Linked DNA regions of Nothobranchius furzeri. The protein of the gene in region 2 interacts with the protein of the main gene of each other region in a biochemical or structural test. Links are inferred from orthologs where the notes say so. Each region holds a gene or a part of one and is shown on either strand. Other genes may lie near its edges.

The links.
Region 1: the proteins of mcm6 (region 2) and mcmbp form a complex in vitro, tested with the Homo sapiens proteins (2 studies listed by BioGRID). The link is inferred for Nothobranchius furzeri from reciprocal best matches to the Homo sapiens genes MCM6 and MCMBP.
Region 3: the proteins of mcm6 (region 2) and chek1 form a complex in vitro, tested with the Homo sapiens proteins (2 studies listed by BioGRID, with this or other methods). The link is inferred for Nothobranchius furzeri from reciprocal best matches to the Homo sapiens genes MCM6 and CHEK1.

The regions. Positions count from the first base shown.
Region 1 is NC_091752.1:5,505,267-5,513,379, forward strand, and holds the end of mcmbp (mini-chromosome maintenance complex-binding protein), read left to right. Parts: coding exon 1-3; intron 4-101; coding exon 102-241; intron 242-312; coding exon 313-410; intron 411-476; coding exon 477-640; intron 641-785; coding exon 786-909; intron 910-1,511; coding exon 1,512-1,629; intron 1,630-1,702; coding exon 1,703-1,868; intron 1,869-1,948; coding exon 1,949-2,082; intron 2,083-2,526; coding exon 2,527-2,694; intron 2,695-2,771; coding exon 2,772-2,860; intron 2,861-4,379; coding exon 4,380-4,506; 3' UTR 4,507-4,743; downstream 4,744-8,113. Other genes in the region: inpp5f (phosphatidylinositide phosphatase SAC2), read right to left, coding at 6,825-7,980. UniProt on the Homo sapiens protein: Associated component of the MCM complex that acts as a regulator of DNA replication.
Region 2 is NC_091751.1:64,040,468-64,048,809, reverse strand, and holds the start of mcm6 (DNA replication licensing factor MCM6), read right to left. Parts: upstream 5,757-8,342; 5' UTR 5,626-5,756; coding exon 5,528-5,625; intron 5,409-5,527; coding exon 5,262-5,408; intron 2,352-5,261; coding exon 2,241-2,351; intron 2,155-2,240; coding exon 2,067-2,154; intron 1,993-2,066; coding exon 1,831-1,992; intron 1,755-1,830; coding exon 1,589-1,754; intron 1,511-1,588; coding exon 1,362-1,510; intron 65-1,361; coding exon 1-64. UniProt on the Homo sapiens protein: Acts as a component of the MCM2-7 complex (MCM complex) which is the replicative helicase essential for 'once per cell cycle' DNA replication initiation and elongation in eukaryotic cells.
Region 3 is NC_091750.1:44,921,911-44,929,794, forward strand, and holds the end of chek1 (serine/threonine-protein kinase Chk1), read right to left. Parts: intron 3,498-7,884; coding exon 3,396-3,497; intron 3,250-3,395; coding exon 3,160-3,249; 3' UTR 2,931-3,159; downstream 1-2,930. Other genes in the region: V-set and immunoglobulin domain-containing protein 10-like 2, read left to right, coding at 2,526-2,671. UniProt on the Homo sapiens protein: Serine/threonine-protein kinase which is required for checkpoint-mediated cell cycle arrest and activation of DNA repair in response to the presence of DNA damage or unreplicated DNA.

The DNA.
Region 1 (8,113 bases), on a different chromosome or scaffold from region 2:
CTGGTATTAGCTGCTGTTTAGATCTTTATGTTGTGCCTCGCCATCGTAGCTGCAGCTCAGGACATCTCAGTGTTTTTAGACTTTTGTGATTTCCGCTGCAGCTTCTCAGAGTCCGACAGAACCAAGCAGCGACTGTAAACGCCAGGAGACTGAAGCTCCTTCCAGCCAGGCAGCTACTTCCTCCCACCTTGACCTGAACTTCCCACTTCCTGGAGAGAAAGGACCCTCCTGCCTTGTCAAGGTGCGTTCTGCCTCCGTTTTCCCTGCAGTGGCGTGCGGCGCGGGGGCTGAAAGGTGCCTGTTGTTGTCCAGGTTTATGAGAACTGGGACGGCTTTAAACTGAACGACACACTAGAAGTCTACGGGATCCTCTCCGTCAGTCCTGCTCTCAGCGCTCTGGTGGATGAAAAGTAAGAAAACGTTTGAGTTTATCCTCCGGCCGCCCGTCTGGGAACTCATCCTCCGCTCCTCTACAGAGACGACCTCATTGACCCCACAGAGTGTATGGAGACGGCAGAAGAGCAGAGGGTCCGCAGCCCGCCGGCGTCTCTCGTCCCCCGCCTCCATGTGCTCTACGCCAAGCCGCTGTCGCACAACAACCCCCTGCTGCCCTGCACACGCCTGGAGGACAACGGGGCCTGTGAGGAGACGCAAAATTTCCTTTTCCTGCTTTTTTTCTGAGGAATTTGCAGCAGGAAAAAAAAATCTGAATTATTCAGAAAAACCGAAGCGTGAAGTAAATGTTTAGTGTTTATGTGTCTTTACGTATTTTCCTTCATCTACAGTTTTATCGTCGACTCTGAGCGAGATGGCCGCCGTCAGGGAGGAGCTGCTTTCATATTTTACTCATGTTTGTCTGGGGGACGCTCTGGCTGCCGAGTACCTCATTCTGCATCTCATTTCTACCGTGTACGTCAAGTTTACGTCATCCTGCTCAGACTCGGAGCCCTGGAGGGGCAGAACATTGGATCCTGACTTTGTTTTGAGGAACCCTGAGATAGAACGTCACATTGTCTGCGCTCGCCCCCGTTTACCCGTCTCACGGCTGAGGGGAGCAGAACCTCCCAAGGAAAGAGGAACTAATCTCAGAAACCCTCAAAACAAGGGGCAGCAGTAGCTCGGGAGGTAGAGCGGGTTGTCCAGTAATCGGAAGGTTGCGGGTTCGATCCCAGCGCTTTGGGCAAGCCACTTAACCCACCTTGTCTGCTGATGGTGGTCTGAGGGACCGGTGGCGCCGGTGTTGGGCAGGCCTCGCCTCTGTCAGTGTGCCCCAGGGCAGCTGTGGCTACCCTGTAGCTCATCCCCACCAGAGTGTGAATGGGTGTGTTGTAAAGTGACTTGGGGGGCTGTAGAACCCTAAGAAGGTGCTATTCAAATACAGACCATGTACCAAAACAAAGCCAGGATCCAAAAATGTCTCTTATTTTTCCCACGCCCCCTCCAGAGCTCAGTAAGTTCCCGTTTTGTGGCTTTGGGGATGCTTTCGCCTGAGTTTGATTCCTCCCTCCCAGATATGCCAGAAGGGATGTTCTCCCCCTGGGAAAGTTCACCTTGAACCTGAGCGGCTGTCCGACCGCGCCCCCGTACGCCGAGCGCCTTTACCAGATCATCCAGCAGCTTGTGCCTTCGGTGAGTCCAGACCCAGAGGTTTCCGTTTCCGTGCGTTCGTCTGCTAATGGGCCTTAAATGATTTTACCTGCAGTCCCATTACCTGGGCATGAGCCTCCAGAACATGAACCAGCTGCGGCTGGTGCCTAAGAAGGACTACATCGCAAACCGCCTGACGAGCGGAACCCTGCAGCTGTCCCAAAACACCTCCCTCTTCCTGGATGAAACCCAGCTAGAGCAGGGACAGTTGGACACAACAGGTGGGACCTCTGCTAGCCACAAGGGGGCAGCACTGATCATCCTAATGATCTGGTAAGCAATCTTCTCTCCTGTGTTGTAGGTGTGCGTAATGTCACGGCCATGGGGAACCTGATCTCGTGGCAGAAGGTTGATTATGACTTCAACTACCATCAGATGGAGTTCCCCTGCAATATTAACGTGCTCGTCGCATCCGAGGGTCGCTCACTGCTGCCGGTAAGAGCCAATCAGGTGCTGCTGCAGACTGTAAACTCTCTCCTGTCTATTTAAGACGCGCACCCCGGTTGGGTTTCCACTAGTTTCTCATGAGACGCAGCCGCGTCAGAAGCTGGAGGTTGTGCTAACAGCTGCCACTGGCCAGCTGCAGACCCCCCTCCGTGCCGCAGCCTTAGCCGGGGTGACGCGCTGCTGCCGGCAGCACGAGGAATGCGCCATGTGCTATTCCTGGATGCTGCTCTAATGAGTTGCCGTGTTGGCAGCTGCGTGCTACAGGAACAATCCAGGGAGTGGCGTCACATGGGGCGATATGCTCACCCCGAGCGCTGTAAACAAACCTGTACATGGCAGCGTTTACGTCAGACTGTTTATGCTGAACCGTGGGCTCAGGCTCGAGGCTTTCTCTGGCTCCTGGGTGAAGTCCTGACGCTTCTATTCCTACAGTCCGACTGTCACATACATCTGCAACCGCAAGTGTCTTCGTCCCACGTAGAGGAGTACATCAGGAGCGTCCACGTCCACCCGCAGGTGTCCTCGCAGCTGAACAAGTTCAGAGTTTATCTGGGCGTGGCACGTCTGCTCGACTACAGCATCTCAGACGACGTGACCAAGGTGAGGCTGGACGTGTGCCAGGACACGGTTAAAGAGCCTTTTGGTTGTTTTTACATCTCTGCTTTCTGCCCGTCAAGTCAGTGGAGGAGGACTTTGTGGAGATGAGGAAGGACGACCCCCAGGGCGTTTCTGCAGAAGATCTCCACAGGCTGCTTGTAGTGGCCAGGTGAGCTCAGACTAGGTTCTCCTCCAAAGTAGAACTGAGTTTTATTAGCTTACAAGGCTGTTGAAGACTAGGTTCTTCTAGGAACCATTTATTTTTTAACTAATTATTTCTGATTTTAACAGTTCACTCTGAGGTTTTTCATGCAGGCTGAACATGATGATAGTCTCCTACACCTATCTCCTGCATTAAGGTTGGTTTATGCTTGACGCGTCCGCGAGGGCCGCACGGAAAAGTTGCGTCATTTTAACAACCACGCCCCTCCACCGCACCTCCGCACGGCCCAGAATTTCCGCAACGCACACCTCGGAAAATTTCTAACCACGCGGACGGACGGACGCGGGAAAACATGGCGGACCGGCAAGATCTAGTATGGCAGAGGTTCGTAAATACAGACATTTGTATGATTCAGCTCTCAGAGATCACCGTGATCAACATGTTGTTAATAATTCTTGGAGAGAAATAGCTCGCACTGTCGGAAAAGACGAGAACGCTGTTAAAAATGCTGAAATGCCATGTTGTAAACAGTAATTTCTACTTCTACTATGGTGTAGTGTTGGATGCATGCCATAGAGCTCCATGCTGCCCCCTACAGTTTGGGAGAATATTGGCTCACCGCAGAGACAAGCCGCACGAACCATAAACGCTGCGAGTTGTGAAGCGCGTTCCATCCGCGAGCCGCATCACCGCGTGGAAAGTAAATGCGTCAAGCATAAACCAAGCTTTAGCTTCTGATAGAAAACAGACGGTGAAACTCTAGGATTAGAAAATCCTGACAGATCTAAGTCACACTGTCACTAACATTCATCGACTCGCCCATGTTGGCTCACGACGGGGAAGGCTGTTGTTGGTTTAGCGTCCAGGAAACAGCAAAGAACGTCTCAGCTAGTAGAAGCTAACTGTTAGCATTAGCAACTCCACCACACAGCAGAACTTCTCCAGGCTTGTGTTATTTGTGGAGATGAAACATCAACGTTGCAGAGCAGTCAGTGGTAGAGTCGTGTTGTTGTTAGCCAATCAGAGCTGTCCAAATATCAGGAATCCAAATCCTGTCGTCTGTAACTTTTTTTTTCTCTGGCAGCCTTCTGTGAGTTTTTGTCCCCGGAGTACGACTTAAAAGGCATTTATTCCACTGCAAAAATATAAAAAAATGAGTAAAGTTGACCAAAATGTACATTTATGTTCCTGAATAACATCTGCACAACAAATGCTCTAAAATCTGTTTTTATTTGCCATATCTGGCCGCTGCTGGTGACACTTACTCCATAAGTTCCACATAAATAAGCATTTATTGTAGAAACCTGAGCGTGAACCGTTATGACAGATCAGTAACTGGTGTTGTGTTCAGCCTAGCCGTTAGCTCATCGGTGCGGTCATAAAAGCCGTTTGTCCAGACTGCGGCTCCTCGTGAAGGTTAACTGAGCGCCGAACGATGCCTTCTGACCGTCGGCATCTAGATTTCCTGTTCAAGATGAGTGAAAAGCTGAAACCCGACTGAGTGTGTGTGCGTCTCCGTCCGCAGGTTGCTGTCCCTGAGCCTGGGACACACGTCCCTGTCCAGAGACAGCTGGCTGAGAGCCAAACACATCGAGACACTGCGAAGGAGCCGAATAGAGCAACACAAGAGCGTGAACGGCAACGAGCCGTGAGCTCACGCGCGGGACAGCTCAACGGTTTTCCTTTTGTTAGAACAGTTTAATAAAGTTTTTTCACCTTTTTGTAAACTAAAGATTTATATATTCCAACTAGAATTAAAGGTATGACTCAATAACAGCCGACTGTTTATAATGTGTAACTGCAGAGCCAACTTCCTGTTTACATTCAGCACGGTGCATTTAACAGTTTGTCTCACGAGTAAATAGATTTAATAAAACTTGTGCAGCTCATGTGTCATCTTTTCATTCCAGACCAAAAAGTGTAAAATGTTCTTTTTATTAACACCCAAAGATAATAAATAGGATCCTTTAATATACAACACATCTGAGTACACGGTGGAGAACAATGTCATCGGTCAGGTTGGTACAGAAGAGGAGACGTGACATCGGGGAAATGTGCTTCAGCAGCGCCAACAGAAAAAACCTGATATTTGTGTCTCGGGTCGAAACGAAAGGACACAAAAAATGCACTTGGTGTGAAAACAAAAGGAGACAAAACAGCCAGCAAATGTGTCAAAGTAAAAAAGCTGACAGCATCAGGAGGAATGCTTTTTAGCACAAGATAAAACGAACCGCTCCAGTGTTGAACCTGATTAAAATTCCCGTAAGCGTTAAAACTGCGCTACAGCTGCAGCTTTGGCAGCACCACGTACTAAAAGCAGCACCTGCAAAGCAGCCAAGACTGAAGTCTCGTGTCACACGAACCAGACAAACAAATCCACGCGTTACCTGCTGGTGAGCCAACGGGAGTGAGGACTACAAAGATGGGACCCCTTTCATCTTGGGACACTTAGCCACAAAGCTAATCCTCATCATTTGTGTTGATCAACAACAAGAAGCCAGGGAAAACCTGTACTTAAGGATAAAATATACAGTTTACAGCTGAGGTTTTAAACCGAGGCGGCAGAGGGGATGTTGGAGCAAACGTACCGACTATTTACATCCTCCAACGACGTCTCTGCCGTGAAACATGCCAATCACGCCCCGGAACACATTTCCAACAGTATGCTAAATGAAACACGTAACAACAGACTTTAAAAGGTAGATTTTTCTTTAAATACCTGATAGAAATAATCCCACTTAAGTTCCCGGTTAAGGCATAAATATATACTCTGGTTTTGGGGAGTGCATAAAGCGTCGGCATTCCTAATAAATAACAGCATATATGCTAACTATATGCTCCACTCGTTTTAGTCAAACTGCTAAAGCTGGCCGAGGATAAGTTCAAACAAATACGCTAACTAGAACGGAACCGTTTCTCCGATTCCGACGAAATATCGATCTGGCCGGTTTCCTTTCATGAGCTTTCACAAAATGGAAATTGAAAAAAATAAAATAAAACCTTGTTTTTAAACTGAGGAAAAGCTGTGCTCATGTAGGGATGGACAATACTCACTGTACATACTGACGACCAGAATACTACGGCGGTCGGACGTAGTCGATATCTCGCCTAATTACGCTTGACAACACGGAGATTAGCTAAAGTAACTACCAACAGCTTGTTGTGTCTGTCGGACAGATAAACAGAGGGTAGTATTCCACACCATTACGATGTTACGATTCACAAAAAAACATGTTTGGTTGATCACTACCAGTGGTACGGCAAATTGAGGTCTACGTCACAAGCGTGCTGCATATACAGGATGAGATAAGGTACTTTGTCAGAAATGGTCTTTATACACGCTGCTAATGCTAACTGGTGGTTACCATTAAACAAACTGAACGGGTGGCGTCGCGTTTACAAAAGTAAAAAAAATAGTTCCCTCCGGGAGTACTCGGCTACTCGTAACAAGACCGGCGTCTACCGAAGCAACTTAACTCGACAGTAACATTGTTTATGGAGTAACCTGCGGTTTGGTTGGAGAGCGAGCCAATTCAAGTCGAGATCAGTCCCAACGTTTAATCGTTTCTACTTTTAAAACCAGCCGAAGAGCCACAAACTGATCCGCGAAGGCTGTCAGAAACCGCGTCGCCATCATTGCAGTTTGCACAGAGAGGAACAACTGATCTATTAAAGTAGAACTTAAATATTTATGTCATTTATCAGGTGTGCAACGTCGCATGGCAAAAGAAAACAAAAAACGGTCAGTGCTCTGAAAAGAAGGGAAACCCACCACAACGTGCACGTAAACAAGTCACACAGGTGGGGCGGATTCGTCAGTTCAGTACAAAAGTCTCTGCTGAGTGGGCGTTTTTTAGGGGGTCCATGAGCACGTTTCTTGGCCTAATATTGATACTCTGTGCAAGTTTCCGCTGATGCTACCATTAAGGACGCTTCTAGAGAACTACAAAATCCTGCTACAAGGAAAGCACTAGATCTGAATGATCCTCGTCTGGCACTGAGTAAACATTGCCTTCAGCTCGTTCTCTTGGGCCTCGTTGACAGCGTCGGGCTCGGGGCTCTTCTGGACCTTTGCGACAGCATAGTTGATGCCCTGGGTGAGTCCTGCCTGGGTGAGGCTGGCCACCTGGACCATGGAGCTCTTGATCTTGGCAAAGGGAGACACCACTCGGCTGCCGTTGCTGTCGGTGGGTGAAGGTCCGAGGCTGCCCTCCATGTGCGAGCTCAGGCTCTTCTGAGAGCCGCCCGAGACTGCAGAGTTGGGCTTCTGGACGAAGAGGAGGTTGGAACTGGAGGTAGAGGTTCGGACGTCTAGCTGGGACGGCCTGGGGAGCTGGGGCTCCGCGTGACGATTCTGCTGATTTGAGCTTGGCTGCTTGTCTGAGTCTGCTGGGGTGTTCTTCTGAACTGCAGAGCTTAGTGGAGGAACAGCGACAGGCGGCTGCTCCCCAAACACTTCAACGGGTTTAGTCTGTGTGTCGTGGATGAACTGGTGGCAGTAGGCATCAATGGGAGTGCCAAAGTCAATCAGAAGGGCTTCTTCTGCAACCGAAGCAGCTCCAGGTGACTTATCATTTATTTCAGACAAGCTTTCCTGTGTTTCTCCACAGCCAGTGACTCGGATCACAGAGGGAATATTCAGATCCCCACTACCTATGGACTGGGAGCGGCTCCCCAGACGGGGGTTTGATGCTACAATGCCACAGCTGGGCAGAACATAATCCACTTTTTCAAAGGAACCAGAGCATGGGTGGTCGGGGTCTGAAGTATAGGAATCGGAGTCTGAGGAGTTTTCGTAACGTTTGTCAGTGATATCCTTTGGGACTCCTGAGCCGGGGTTGTTGTCCGATGTCTCCAAGCTGCTGTCGGACTTCCAGAGGTTAACGTGCATAGTTGGTTTGAGGAAATTCACGGTCACATCGGGCTTTGAGAAGTTGCCCAGCTTACCGAGAGGCTTGAAGGGACCGATGTTTACGTTTGTCTTGGTCTGTTTCACCTTCTGGTTGAGGGACGAGAATTTGTTGAGGAGGAAACTTTTTCCCTGCGCCAGACCGGAGCTGCCCTGAACCTGGTCGGCTGGTTTGTTCTGGATCCCCACGATGTCCTCGTGAGGCTTACTCTGCCGCCTAGAACACAGAAACAAGGAACTCATCCATACCTCCAGTCATTTCCTCTCACTTGCAATGACAGTACAGTAATCCCTCGTTTATCGCGGTAGATGCGTTCCAGACCTGGCCGCGATAGGTGAAAATCCGCGAA
Region 2 (8,342 bases):
CAGTCATCTGGCTCTTGATGCTTTCAGCGGTTTGTTCCTCATCCCGTAGCTCCTTCCCACCAAACTACAACCCAAACAAAGGTCAAAGTTCCAGCTGTCCCTAGGGATGGGTACCTTTGACATTTGAATCGATCCGGTACTAATTCCCGGCACCTACGAATCGATACCGGTACTTAACGGTACCAATTTTCAATACTTTTGAGTGTTTATTATTTTAAATCTCTTTTATAATTAAATATATATTTTTCTCAATATAGAACCATATTTGGTAAATATCATGATAAATAACATACAACTGTTTGTATTTTAACATCGTCCTTGTAGTTTTATAAGCTGATAATTAAACTGAAGCAAAAATCTTTACTGTGAACTAAATTTACTGTGTATCTTCATTCCTTTTGCCGTCTTTTTTCATTTGATTTTTCCTACTGGGAAGTTAGAATTTCCGAGGAGAAAGCGAACGCACCATTAGATGATAACAACGGTGGCAATGGAAGCTAACACATCAAGCTAACGTTATCTTAAACTGTTTATTTAACTGCTGGAGCAGATTAAAACGATGATGCCTCACACTTAGATCGTTGTCGCTGGTTTCGTCTTCACCCAATCACCCGTCACATTTAGTAAAGTGAAGCCAAACTTTAGAGCGCGTTCATGTTCTTCTAGTCAGAATTTCGGAGTTCCGAGGAGAAAGCGAACGCACCATTAGTGAAACGGAAGCTAACATATCAAGCTAACGTTATCTTAAACAGTTTAACTGCTGGAGCAGATTAAAACAATGATGCCTCACACTTAGATCGTTGTCGCTGGTTTCATCTTCACCCAATCACCCGTCGCATTTAGTAAAGTGAAGCCAAACTTTAGAGCACGTTCATGTTCTTCTAGTCGGAATTTCGGAGTTCCGAGGAGAACGCGAACGCACCATTAGTGAAACGGAAGCTAACAAATCAAGCTAATGTTATCTTAAACATTTTATTTACCTACCGGAGCAGATTAAGATGAGGATGTCTCACTTAGATCGTTGTCGCTGGTTTCATCATCACCCAGTTACCCATCACATTTAGTGAAGTGCACCCAAGCTTTAGCGTGCGTTCTTCCTACCATGCTGCTCTGTTTACAACTGGCTCGCAGCGACCGACGACGTAACGCTCTTGCGCATGCGCAGCTGTCTAGGCAAGTTCTCGTTGTGAAGGACGGGTACCAAAACGAGGCACCGTTTCAAATGAAGTGAATAGGTGCTCGGTCGGTACTATGGAATTCAGTCGGTACCTTAAAAAGTACCAAATTCGGTACCCATCCCTAGCTGTCCCACGTGCATTAGAAGAGCCTGCTGTGCTTTAGCTGCACTGAGGGTTTCTTACTCGTGGGTTGGTTGGGGCCACGTTGCAGGCCAGGAAAGCCAGCCTGTACGACAGCTCTCTGACTCCCAGAGCTTTCAGTCCTCTCAAACCCTCCGACTCGAAGCCCTGAGGACCTCCAGGTACACGGGTGCTGGACTCTGCTCGGACACCTGAGGAGATCACACCCAAACATCAGCAGAGAATAAAATCCCCTGATCCAAGACCTGTTTGGGAATCTAAAGCCACACCAGGAGTGCTGAGCTGAGAGACGTCCGGCACCACGATGAGGGTCCCGGTGAAGTCACAGCGGTCTCCAGCCTGCGCCATCTCCACAGCCTCTGCCCTCAGAACGATCTCGAGTGACCGTGGGATTGAACCTCGAGGGAGCTCCGCCTGCGTCTCCTGGATACGCACCTGAAGAACACGAGTATCAGAGCAAGTCGGACACCTGCCGATACCGCTTCGAAAACACATCGGTCCTACGCGTTACCTTCTGAAAGTCGATGAACTTGGATTTGTGGGTGTCGAGGTGGAAGCGGGAGCGATTGTTGCAGACGGTGTTCCTGCAGATGGTTGGAGGGGAGTATTTGAACTGCTGAGGGACATCTTTGATCACTGCCTGGCAGTCCATGCACAGGAAGGTACCGCTCACCTGAAAACGCAAAGCAGGTCACAATCAGAGGTCATTAACCTCTACGCCGTCGTCTCTGTAGCGGGCTATCTCACCAGCTCAGGGTGGACCGGGTGAGTCCTCACCACCTGACCACTGATCTTCACCAGGGTGCCGATACGCATGGAAGACAGCTCCCGGATCCTAGATTACACACACGCGATCGCATCTGACGTTCTGCTGCATCTTTAAGTAGAAGCCAGCTGGTTTGGGATTATTCTGCATCTTACTTGTGTCTGGTGGGAAGCTCCTCGATGGCCACGTAGAACTCTTTGTTGAGAGGAACGTTCCCGTGATCTCGCGCAAAGTTGCGTACAGCCCGGCAGAGGTAGGGATACACCCTGACAACAACAGATTAACACAGATTAAATCTCCCAGAATCGTACAAACCAATGCTACTGCGGTTGTGTCGGCACCGACACAAAATAACTCTTCAACCGTTTACGCAATCAACGTGATTCTAACGGATTCTGAAAGCTGAGACTCTACGCTTTCAGTGGTATACAACACATTACGGTAATGACACGCAAGTCCCTGCCCAAGAACCAGAAACTGATCACACTTCCTAGAGGAGCAGAGGAATTGTTTTCGACGCACATTTTCAACTTCTACCTCTTCTACGGATATAAATAATAAATATTCTTGGTAAATATCTTACTTTATGTTTGTATATGGTAATTTTAGGATATATTTGGTAATTTTTGACATCGTCTAGCCGTGTTTGTACTCGTTTTACCACTGTAACGGAATGAAATGACTGTTTTCCACCAAAAGTAATTTTCCCCTCTCCTCTGACACAGAACTAGTCTGCATGAGATACGGCCTCAAGGTCTCATGCATTTGTTATAAACTGCTTCATTCCAGCTCAAGAGAAGAGTGAAGAATGGAATCTCTCTTTTTAATAAATCAAAGAACTCTATTTTTAATAAGCTAATCAAGCAAAGTGTTAGTCAATAATAAGAAGTGACCAATCTGTGAAATCAAAATATTAATTACTTTATTATAATCCTATAGAATATAATAAGTAATGTGACTTTAAATGTTCCACTAGGACTGATCTCACAGCGTTAAGACATGACACATTACTGATCCAATCAGAATCTGCCAGATCTGACGGCGGCGTGGTTTTGGTGGTGTTTGGTAGATCTGTTATCTTTTCATTCGACCATAAACCAAAACATCTGAAGTATAAAACTATGCCCACGTCATCTTTAACGCCAGTTCAAAGCGTTCTAGAGAAGTTGTCGGAGTGGCCAATCCGTAACTTTCCTCTTCAGCCAAAAGAACCAACGACAAGCTGGATAAAATCTGTTGCTGTTCCAACTGCTGCAACGGTTCCTTTCAGAATAAGAGCTGAACCATCATGACCCGGGTTTGGTTCTCGCTAGATGCCAACAAAACCGTCGTGGCCCGGAAGTATCTCAAAGACTGGTCTGGTCGGCAAACGCTGCTTTTCCTACCGGTTTCGGTTCCAGAGAGGGTCCAGCTGGACCTCGCCATTCCTGATCTAACGGGGACTTCCAAAAGGGTATGTAGGCTGACGAAATGGCGTCGAATGTGTTTATGAACCTCAAGAACTAATCGCTTCTTCGGATTTGCTGGTTCTGAGCAACATTCCACACTACACCATTCTCCGTCTCATTCACCTTAGTTACACCATACATTTAGTGTTTAAGTTAGTCTAGTTTAATTTGTTTAGTAATAAATCTTTAAATTTTAAACTAGACTCTCTCTCCTGTTGTCTATGAGTGAATACGAGGTTGTTATCTAATCTCTGCAATAAAAAGCTCCGATCTTCTGGTTAAAGACCCACAGATCCATAAGATTGATTTCATATTTACTATGGTATCCTATGTCTTACGGTTTATTAGATAACATGTAATTTAACTCATTACACCACCTGTAGTTCAGTTTTTTTTCAGCTGCGTTTTTCATGGAGGCTTTTTATTATTTTATTAAGATTCGTTTTTCTAAATAATGAAAGAAAGAGGAAATTTCCCTCAAAAGTTGTTGATGAGGAGCAAGATGTGCCCACATCGTTTTTCCGTCACAAACACCGTAAGCATCTCTGCATTAAATATTTTCCACTGAACACGTTCCAGTTTTTGTTGTCCAGTATTCCTGCTAATACTATTACTATACTATTATACTACTACCACTACTTCCAGGAAACCAAAACCTCCATGTACATCTGTGGTTGAGGATCCGCGTGTGAGTGAAGATGATTTGCCATCACAGCTGCAGTAAGTTTATCTACAGTTCAAATATATTTCTAGCTTTAGTTCTGTATTTTTTTTTTTCAGTTTTCATTTACCAGTATTTACTGCTTGAATAAATATGATATAATTTGATATATTTTTTATTTTAGAGATTCTTCTGATGAAGGGCCATCCACCAGCAACAGGCAATGTCAAAGACAGGATGCTGCTGGAGATGCTCCACATCTTCTGGACTCCTGGACAACAAAGTCAAACCCAGGTACCGTCGACCCACGACACCCAGATTTATTCCCAGAAGAAGCCCTGGCTATCAGCTTCCCCTCAGGGATGAAACAGGTACAAAAACTCGGTGCAAAAATAAAAAACACTCCCTGGATGTGCAGAGTGTAAGAAATGGTTTTATCTTCAGCAGGACAGGAATTGCTCTGCAGAAGACCACAGCAGCTAAAAACGCCCGAACACTACAGACAATATCACACATGTACACATGTACATGTAAACAAATCAGTACATGTTGGGCTTGATTTCTGCTATTTCAGACTTTTTTATTCATGTACATTTGTTTTTTCTATTCAGAAATTTCTGAAGACATCCGTTTTTTGTTTTTTCTGTTATTACATACCTGCAAAATCTTAACAGATATTGAAAGCTGAGCTTGTCCTGAAAATGAGGTAAATGTTTTTGTGCGGATGGGACATTTTTTGACAGATTTATTAAAAGATAAACATAAACATGGCCAGGCGGACTTGAACAATGGCAGTACTACAAGGACTGGAGTGTTCAGCTGAACCTTTTCCAGAGAATGCATCATTGTGACGCTCAAACCCCAAACAGTTTACGTCACATTGTTCTGATCACATGAAAGAAATCCGTGTTTTAGAGATAATTTACGTATTTTTCAGTTTATTACTATTTTAAAAGTCTAAAGACGTTTTGGATTTTTGAAAAGAAGTTCCCCTTTGTCACGCGTGTTTGACCTGATCGGTTTTCAGGTCAAATCCAGCAGATGCCGCCGTGGCGTGGTTGTCCCACCTGTAGTACTCCTCCTGGATGGTGGTGGCCAGCTCCTGGTTGAAGCCCTCCAGATCAGTGAAGCTCACCAGCAGGGTGTTCCTCTCGGGCCTGATCAGCTCCTCTGCCTCCCGGACGTATTTCACCTCCCCGTCCCCGGTCTGAAATCTGATAACGGAAGACAAATCAAACACACCCAAGCAGCACAGAGCGGGTCCGTTTACTACCGGATAAAGAAGGTTATTAAACGCGGTAACACTTCTACGCGCACGCCGAGGCCGACTTACTCCTCTAAGAAAGCTTGAAACAACTTCTGGCACTTTTCCGCCAACTCGTCTTTCACCATCGTCCCGGCATTCTCCGCGGTTGCTGTAGCAACGTCCATGCTGCAGTGAGTGGGTTTAAATGTTGCTGGTAAAATTCCTGGACCGAACAGCTCGTTTCTCCCGGTGGTAATTCACGCACAGCAGCAGCACACTTTCCTCCAGACAACAGGGAGCCGTTTCGCGCGAAAAGCGAGACCACGTGAGGTTTGGCGCGCCGCTTTCGACCAATCTGTGCGTCAGGTCCAGAGTTTTCCGGTTTGTAGCCAATTAGGTGGAGCAACGTAAAATGACGCATGCGTTTTCCCGCGAAACGCTTCCTGTTGCTTCTTTGAGCCACCGGCTACAGCTTGTAGCACGGGGCGGGGAGGGGCACTGGCCACAACAATACCATATATGGAAACGGTATAATTGCTTTTCGGAACTGAAGGGGGCGCTAATGTCGAGCTACCTTTTGGAAAATCTTAACTGTTCATGAAACAAATATAATTCTAGGTAAACTATCGTAATTTCTATATTTTTGATTCATTAATAGTTACAGTTTATTACATTATTTTTCGTACATCGTTGTACTAAACATGACACAGCCAAAAATCATTTAAAACTATATTTTTTAATAATCTTCATCAAAGAATGACTGTGATTCTTCACACTTTTCACATCACTTAAATTTTTTTAAATTGGTGTGGTATTTTTGAAACGCCAGTGTCATTAGAAATCTCATCAGGATGATTTTTACAAGTGGCCTAGTTTTATACTATTTGTAGGAAACTGTAACCATTTGAGTTTGATGAGACTATTCATAGTATTTAAAACTGATATTTAAACCTAATTCCTCCAAAGATGTAACATCAGCTCTCCTAAGTGTCACCTGTGTCTCCAGTTGTTCTGATTTAATTTTTTTGTTATTTTATCATGTAACCTAATGAAAAAAATGGGTAGATGTGTGTAGAAAACTTTCCATTTTAGCACAAAAGAATAACTTCCAAAAGGATGGCTCTGTTGAACAGCTGCTGAGAAAGACTTTTATGGATTTTAGTTTCATATCAATATAATTTCTAAAAACATGTGAAACTCCAAAAATTAGAATGTTGCCCATTAATTTATTTTAGTAAAAGCAAAACCAATTGCAAAGTACTTATGTCTGACAATTTTCTATTTAAAAGCAGTGTTGGATTTTTTTAATGTAATATTCTAATCGTCAGAATTTTTGAATGCAGAGCTTTCATCATCTGTAAGCCATAATTATCACAATTATAACAAATAAAGGCTGAAATATCTGGCTTTGTATGGAATGAGTCTTGTTATTGAAATAATTCAACTTTTTCACTATTCTCATGTTTTGAGTTTTACCTGTAATTTGATTTTTTATTAAGTTCGAGTCATTTTTATATAAACTGCAACCAATTTTTCAAGAAACTTTATTCTCAAACAGAGGAGCAACAGGAAATTGTTTTAAAAAATCTAAACAGCAGCAGTTCTTTTCAACATTACAAAAAAAAAATACACATTTGAGTGGACTTGCTGCAGAAATGTTTCACTGGACTATTTGGCAATGTTAGAACATTTGAACATGCTCAATGCTGACAGCCAGGGCAGCGCCCAGGTATCCCACCAGAGTAATAGCGAGGGTACTTTCCTCTTCGTCCTTTTGCCGTGAAGCCCACACAGTCTTTGTATAGACCGTTGCAGGAAGAGCATCTTCCCACGGTGAACGGAATCGTGTGCTCAAACTTGAAGGTTGCAGAAAAGCTTCTCCAGTGAATCTCACCTATTAACAAAATAATAATTAAATTAAGCCAATTAAGCCAATTAATTTACATCATTGGTCATTTATTACCATCCAGCCAGGCAAAGTGGGCGACGGTGGCACAGGAGTTAGGTGCTCGCCCCATAATCGGAAGGTTGCAGGTTCGAGCCCCGCTCAGTCTGTCGCTGTCGTTGTGTCCTTGGGCAAGACACTTAACCCACGTTGCCTGCTGGTGGTGGTCGGAGGGACCGGTGGCGCCAGTGATCGGCAGCCTCGCCTCCGTCAGTGCGCCCCAGGGCAGCTGTGGATACATTGTAGCTCATCACCACCAGGGTGTGAATGTGTGTGTGAATGGGTGAATGACTGATTGTGTTGTAAAGCGCCTTGGGGGGTTCCAGGACTCTAGAAGGCGCTATATCAAATCAAATACAGGCCATTTCTTCCTAAAAACAGGATCTGAAACAATGGTGTTGAGGTGTTTGCAGGTCAGTGCCAGTGACAGGTAAGCTGCATCTCCTTCTGTTAGGATCACCTCCAGGAGCACAGCTTCAAGCACAAGAAGCGGCATCTATGAAAACAACACTGTTGGGTTAAAGTTGAGTAAATGGAGGTCTAACTGGTCCACCACCACTGAGAACTACATCTCCCAGAATGCACCAACAACACCTATGCAGGGTGGTGGCTCTCAATCCTCAGTCAAACAGGAACAGCACAGCAAGCTCTAACAATGAGTTGACTCTAAAGATGCCAATGGTTGGTAACTATTGTTTTGTTTATGATATGAAGTTGTTTTGGGTGACCTTTAAAGTCATGCTTTTAATTTAATCGTTTACACTGTTAGTGTGGGAAGATTTAGTTTAGAAAGTTCTTTGTTTATTGTATTTTATATAAATTATGTGACATCTAACACTTGTCTCTGTTCTTTGAAGGTTATCAACCTAATGTTCACTGAACTGACATAATAAAAATTGTTGGAATGTGATGGAGTTGTCCCAAAGTGTCCCTTTAGAGTGAAACTAGTGTGGAGCT
Region 3 (7,884 bases), on a different chromosome or scaffold from region 2:
GCTAAGCTGAGTCCCATTCTGTTCTGCTCTGAACTTGAGACAGTTATCCACACCTTCATCTCCTCACGCATAGACTACTGTAACTCTCTTTTCACGTGTCTGAGCAGAACCTCCCTGAACCGTCTACAGGTGGTTCAGAATGCCTGTACTCGGCTTCTGACCAAGTCCTCCAAACACACCCACATCACCCCGCTTCTCCTCCAGCTTCACTGGCTGACAGTCAGCTTCAGGGTTCATTTCAAGATCCTGGTTCTGGTCTATAGGGCCTTACATGGACAAGCACCATCTTACATTGGTGATCTTCTTAGTCCCTACACCCCCAGCAGGTCCCTGAGGTCCAGTGATCAAAGCCTACTGGTTACGCAGCACCAGGCTAAAGACCAAAGGTGACAGATCATTTGCTGCTGTGAACCCCAGACTCTGGAACTCTCTCCCCCTGAGCCTGAGATCAGTGGACTCAGTGGTCTCCTTTAAATAGCAGCTGAAGACTCACTTGTTCAAGCTGGCTTTTGTATGACCTTCTTCACCACTCTCTCTTTATTCTGCTCTCCCCACCTATTCCACCTTCCTCAGGATCCACTGATTTCCCTCTTTCCTGTTCACTCTCTCTCTTTCTGAACTATTTTTAATCACAATTGCCTATATTTTCTCATTTTAAATATATTTTTTAACATTTTCTAAATGCTATTTAATATTTTTACATTTTTTTGCTTTTGTGAAACGCCTCGTGATTTTTATCTTGAGAGGCGCTATAGAAATGATATTTTCTTCTTCTTCAAGCTGGGGAGAGGGAAGTCTGGGCTTCTCGGCTTAGGCTGCTGCCCTCGCAACATGGACAGATAATGCCCATTGACTCATTTAATATGGTTTCGATATAAAATGGGAGGTTCCCACCATTTTGACCATGTCACATGTCTTGTCACGCCCAGACAATCCAAAAATAGGAAAAGAGGCGGAGCTGTTACAGTTGGAACAAATGAACCAATGTAGCTACTAGCTATCTTAGCCTACCCAAGAAGCTAAGAAGGAGCTCTGGGGTAGCCAACCCACACAGCCGCTTGGCTTCCGTGCGAGGCTGTAATTCCATGATTAACATCAAAACATGGACACACAGAGGACACAAAGTTCAGAGAGTTTAAATGGCTGAACATCTATTAACATGAGGCCCAGGCTGAGGCCTTTCCCTGAACTAGCTCCTATTGCTAGCTGGTGGCTCTGATGCTCTTTAATTATTCATAATTTCAAGCATTTAATACACTTAACAAAAGAATTACAAAAAAAGCACCCCCCTCAGAGTTGTCATGAATGTAAACAAGATCTATTAAACCTAAACTGCTTTGTTTTTTTTAAACCAGGCTGTAAACGTGTTTATTTCGGCTGTGAAAATGGCATTTTTAACATGGGACTCATTGAGTACTTGCTCTGTTTTGGTGCCAACCCTTAGCAGATGAGGGTGGAACTGCAAATATTGGCACTTCCTTGTTGGGAGAAGTTCTGGATTCAGGGGGTGACCCCTTGGCACAGACATATGCAAGACCTGGTTTCAGCTGTCGCTTTCCTCGTGTCAAGCCCCTCCTGAACGAGACGGCATCAGAAGCGTCTCTGGTCTAAAGACAAAAAGGACTGGACTGCTGCTGAGTGGTCCAGTGTTCTCTGATGAAAGTAAATGTTCAATTTCCTTTGGAAATCAAGGTGCCAAAGTCTGGAGGAAGAAGGGAGAGGTACAGAATCCACATTGCTTGAGATCAAGTGTAGTTTCCAGTCCAGTGGTTGGGGTGCCATGACATCTGCTGGTGTTGGTCCATTGTGTTTTCTGAGGTCCAAGGTCAACACAGCCGTCTACCAGGAAGTGTTACAGCACTACACGCTTCCTGCTGCTGACCAACTTTATGGAGATGCAGATTTCATTTTCCAACGGGGCTTGGCACCTGCACACAGCACCAAAGCTACCAGTACCTTGTTTAAGGACCATGGTATCCGTTTTGATCGGCCAGAAAACTCACCTGACCAAAAATCGACTGGGTATTGTGAAGAGGAAGATGAAATACGCCAAACCCAACAGTTCAGAAGAGCTGAAGGTCACTATCAGAGCAACATGGGCTCTCATCACACCTGAGCAGTGCCACAGACTGATGGACTCCATGCCACGCCGCTTTGCTGCAGTGATCCAGGCCAAAGGAGCCCTAACTAAATATTGAGTGTTGTACATGCTCATACTTTTCAGTTGGCCACCATTTCTAAGTCCTTTTTTTGCATTGGTCTTAATCGACATTCTAATTTTCGGAGAAAATCTAGGATTTTCATTGTCAATTATAATCATCAAAATTAAAGAAACATTTGAAATATATCTGCCTGTGTGTAATGAATGAATCTAAAATACAAGTTTCACTTCATGAATGGAATTACTGAAATAAATCATCTTTGTAATCATATTGTAATTTTGACCAGCACCTGTTTTTGGGTACTGTACTCTGTCAGCATCACCTTACAACTAACTAGTCTAATCACATTTCTGTCTCCCCCAGGTCCAACTGTGACTATACCCCGAGCTGCCTCACCCCTGAGTGCCACTCCCAGTCCCGCCACCCCTACCATCAGCCATTCCCCTCCCCCTGGAGATGACAATGAACCAGTCAGTGTCACCATCACAGTCAAAGCTACAGGCTCCTAAAACTAAACTAGATGCCTTAGGCAGAATCTGAATCATAGAAAGTTATAGAAAATTATTTATAAACTTTCTTTATTAAACATATTTCCATGTAATTTAGTCATAAAAAGCATAAATGACTCAAGTCAGTTTTTTTTGTATGAATCATATAATTTAGCTTGCAACAGGTTTCACCAAGCTGTACTCATTTATCTCTGAGACTTTTGAACAACAATAAAAACTGTTTATGCTTCTGACATCATTTAATCACTGAAATCCAACATAAAGGGGTGTTTTAATAATTTATTCAACTTTGGATTGTAACACAACAAAGAAAAAGCAAACACTTGGGTCACAACGGAAGGTTGAGTAAAACCATGTCAACCACAACTCTGCTCTGATAAATATCCTACTTTGAGCTTCCCTAATAACAAAACTAAAACCACGATTCACCTTCGACACGTCAGCAGAACAACAAGTCCACTTTTAGACGGGCTGTTTGTAAAAACGTCTCATGGAACTAAAACCTTCTGAGTGCTGACGATGTCAGCAAGCTTGTGTTTTATCCTCACAAAGACGCGCTTGAACTCCAAACCGTCACCCTGAAAACACACACACACACACACACACACACACACACACACACACACACACACACACACACACACACACACACACACACACACACACACGTCAGTTTCAAGGAAAAACTCAAAGGCAGAACAGCACACAGTTCTGAGAGAACAACCTTAGACAGCCTGAAGTCCAGCAGCACTCGCTGGCTCATTTCTAGTAGATGGACTTTGAAGATGAGCTTGTTGTTACGTTTGTCCAGCATGCTCACAGTCACCTGAGAGGCAGAGATCTGTTAATCAACAAGAACGTACTAAAGGAACGGGTCTGAACCAGTAGTCTTTGTACTTCCTGGTTTTTGATCATTCGTTTTAGAAGCAGAAACCATAAAACCAAAATGAAAGACATCTGGAGTTTTACATTAAATAATAAAGTGATGGAAATAAGTTAACCAACAGAACTGACGAGCTTCAAATTACACATGGACTCATGGACCCGTTTGTGATACACATAATGAAAATGTAGAAATTAAATAAATAACACGCACACATTACGTTATCCAAAACTGGACCAGACAAAGTTACCAATGTCTCCACGTCTGCAAACAAACAAAGCTGTTGACTTGTTAAGGATTCGAGATCCAAGGATTAGAATCTTTATTCTGTGCAAAAGAAAATGTTGTTACAGCCACCATGAAACTCTTACCTCGTCACCCAAACTGCCAAACTAAGCAGGAATAAAATAGATAAGATTAAATAAACATAAAAAATGCTATCTTAAGTGTAGACTGTACAGAAAGTTGTGGTACACACTCTGCAGAGAGGGTTGTGGAGTCCGGGTAATCTTTGAAAGTCTTAACTATGCCCTGCAGGCATTTAGGATCCCTGGTGCTGTTCCCACACCACACTGTGATGCAGCTAGTAGCTGCTGAGGCATATTTAGCATTAAAGCAAACACAATGGTCCTTGTTGTCAGCTTATTGAAATGAACATGTGTGATACCCAGGGCTGGGTTTGGATTTTTTCTGATAACAGTACCAGTATCTGAATGGCACTTTTTGGGGGTATCTATACTTTAAGGGTTAATTTTAATAGAAAAAATTACTTGCATGTTTTTTTATTTAGTACATAAAACAAAATGACTATTTTTCTTTGTGCAAACAGTGAACTATAATTAAGCAAACATCTTTCTTTTAGAGAAATAATTATGACACAATTTTCTTAAGTAAATTAAATAACTATTTATCTTTTAGTGCAAAACCAAAGTTTAAATTCTGAAGGTAAAGTACTAACTATTATCCATCTATCTATCAATTCAATGCCCCCACGACCAGACTCCACTTATCCAGAGTTGGGTCGCGAGGGTAGCAGCGTAAGCCAAGAAGCCCAGACTTCCCTCTTCCCAGCTACTAGGGCCAGCTCCTTCAGGGAATCTCAAGGCGTTCCCTGGCCAGCCGAGAGACGTAGTCCCTCCAGCGTGTCTTAGGTCTTCCTTTAGGTCTTCTTTCGGTTGGATGTGCCAGAAAACCTCACCAGGGAGGCATCCTGACCAGAAGCCCGAGCCACCTCATCTGACTCCTTTCGACGTGGAGGAGCAGCGAGTCTACTCTGAGCCCCAACCCAGCCGCTTCACACTCGGCTGCAAAACGCTCCAGTGAAAGCTGGAGATCATGGTCTGATGAAGCAAAAAGGACCACATCATCTGCAAAAAGCAGAGACTCAATCCTTAGGCCACCAAAACAGATCCCCTCAACACCTTGGCTGTGCCTAGAAATCCTGTCCATAAAGGTTATGAACAGAATCGGTGACAAAGGGCAGCCTTGGCGGAGTCCAACTCTCACTGGAAATGAGCTCGGCTTACTGCCGGCAATGCGGACCAAACTCTGGCACCGGTCATACAAGGGCCTAACAGCCTGTATAAGAGAGCCTGGTACCCCATACTCCTGGAGTACCCCCCCACAGGACGCAGTTAAACACCTTCTCCAAATCCACAAAACACATGTAGATTGGATGGGTAAACTCCCACACACCCTCCAGGATACCCCTAACCCCCAAATTCCACTACCTCCGCTCCGCTCCGGCACGAACTCCGGAGCAAAGTCGGTCCCGTTGTAGTCAATCAGAGCAATTCCACTACTGCGGCCGTGCTCCGGCAGTGCACCGCCCTCTGTTCCGGCGTCCAGCATGAATCGATCCTATTTTTGCCGGACGCCGAAGCACCTCCGCAGTCAATGGACAGGAATCACAACTGCCCAACAGGAAAAGGAGCAAGCACAACTTCCGTTTTTCACAATAAATCGATAAACAAAAGGCGTTTTTTGTTTCATATGCACAAGTTTAACAACCTTTAACAACTATCAATGGCGGCTGAACTTTAAATGCACAAAAGTAAGCCATAAATACAGTTTCCACTATCAAAATAGTCACACTTTGTTGATCTAAACACTGCTGACCTCTCAACATAAATGATGGGCAGATTAAAGAGTTCATTTCGATTCTTCTCCCACACAACGGGTGTTTGGATCTAACTTCCGCGTTTATTGCTCGGACTGTATCGCAAGATCTCGAAAATCCCGCGCATGCTCGTTTGCCCACCTCAGGTCTCCGCACCGGAGCGGAGCCGTTGTAGAGCGGGTATAGTATAATTTGAGTTCGGAAGCGAGCGGCTGCGGAAGGCGGGGGCGGACCGGGGCGGAGCGGAGGTAGTGGAATTTGGGGGTAAGGCTGGTCCAGTGCTCCACGGTTGGAACACACTCTGCGGTCCCCTCAGACTGCCAATCCAGTGGAACTGTCCCCCATGCCCATGCGATACTACAGAGCTGCATCAACCAACACAACCTCACAACATCCAGAGCCTTACCCCCAAATTCCACTACCTCCGCTCCGCTCCGGTCCGCCCCCGCCTTCCGCAGCCGCTCGTTTCCGAACTCAATTTTACTGGTACCCACTCTACAACGGCTCCGCTCCGGTGCGGAGACCTGAGGGGGGCAAACAAGCATGCGCGGGATTTTCGAGATCTTGCGATACAGTCCGAGCAATAAACGCAGAAGTTAGATCCAAACACCCGTTGTGTGGGAGAAGCATCGGCATGAACTGTTTAATCTGCCCATCATTTATGTTGAGAGATCAGCAGTGTTTGGATCAACAAAGTGTGACTACTTTGATAGTGGGAACTGTATTTATGGCTTACTTTTGTGCATTTAAAGTTCAGCCGCCATTGATAGTTGTTAAAAGTTGTTAAACCTGTGCATATGAAACAAAAAACGCCTTTTGTTTATCGATTTATTGTGAAAAACGGAAATTGTGCTGGCTCCTTTTCCTGTTGGGCCGTTGTGATTTCTGTCCATTGACTGCGGAGGTGCTCCGGCATCTGGCGAAAATAGGATCGATTCTATTTTTGCCGGACGCCGGAACAGAGGGCGGCGCACGGCGCCGCACTGCCGGAGCACGACCGCAGTAGTGGAATTGCTCCGATTGACTACAACGGGACCGATTTTGCTCCGGCGTTCGTGTCGGAGCGGAGCGCAGCGGAGCGGAGGTAGTGGAATTTGGGGGTAAAGGAACTCCGGGTGAATCTTATCCAGCCCTGGGGCCTTCCCACTGAGAACTTTTTTGACCACATCAGTGACTTCAGCCTTAGAGATTTTAGAGTCCAACCCAAAGTTCCCAGACTCTGCTTCCTCACTGGAAGATGTGCCGGTGGGATTGAGCCACGCTGTTAAACCTCTGGTAGGGTCACCCATGGCAAACTATCATCTATTCTATAAATATGAAACATCTACTCTTAAAAACCTGAATATCCCAAATAAATAAACAAACTGTACAAATAAGAGTTACAGTATCTTTCTGGAGTTTCCCCCTTTCAGAATGTATGATTTTTCAGAAATCCGTAAAAGTGATTGTCTCATCATGTACTGTGATATAACCTAAGCAATAATTAAGTTTTTGTTACTAAGCACGCCCCCTACACCACAGAGCTCCATGCAATAGGAAACTGAGCGCCAACTAGAACTAACCAATAGCGTTAGACTACCGCTTAGACGCTTCAAATTTAAGGAATACCTCGGCTGATGCAGAGTTGATGAACTTTTTACGGACAAGTAAGTCTCTAAAATATAAATATATGCAAACACAGCATGACATGAGAATAATACTTGTAAAACAACGTGTTTTTACTCTGCGTGTCGGCCACAGAAGCACATAAATAACAAGAAAGGTGAAGTCGCCATCTTAAAAAACTGAAGAAATTATTTGTGTGATATGCTTGTCAGCCACTAGATGGTGCCATCGTATAAGAGAAATACTCCTAACAGAGACTTTAATACAAAATAAACTGCGTAAAAATGAGTCTTGATCATCTTTCTTCGGAAAAACTAACCTGATGACACCTTCAGTGTTGCTGCTGCATCAAAGAAAGGTTGTAGACGCCAGGCTGAGTTTGCTCCTACATTATTTATTTATTGCTGCTGAAGACTGATATTGCTTCAGCTGCAAATAGATGCCATGGATGATGAGATGCTTTATTAGATATTTCCTTATTTAGCAAAACAAATCCTATACCAGATGTCACATTTAGCTCTTTTGCTGATTAGCTTCACCAAATGCAGCCAAACCTTTGATGTTCTTTGCAAAAGGCGTTGCTATAAACGAGAGGCAGGGCTGTGC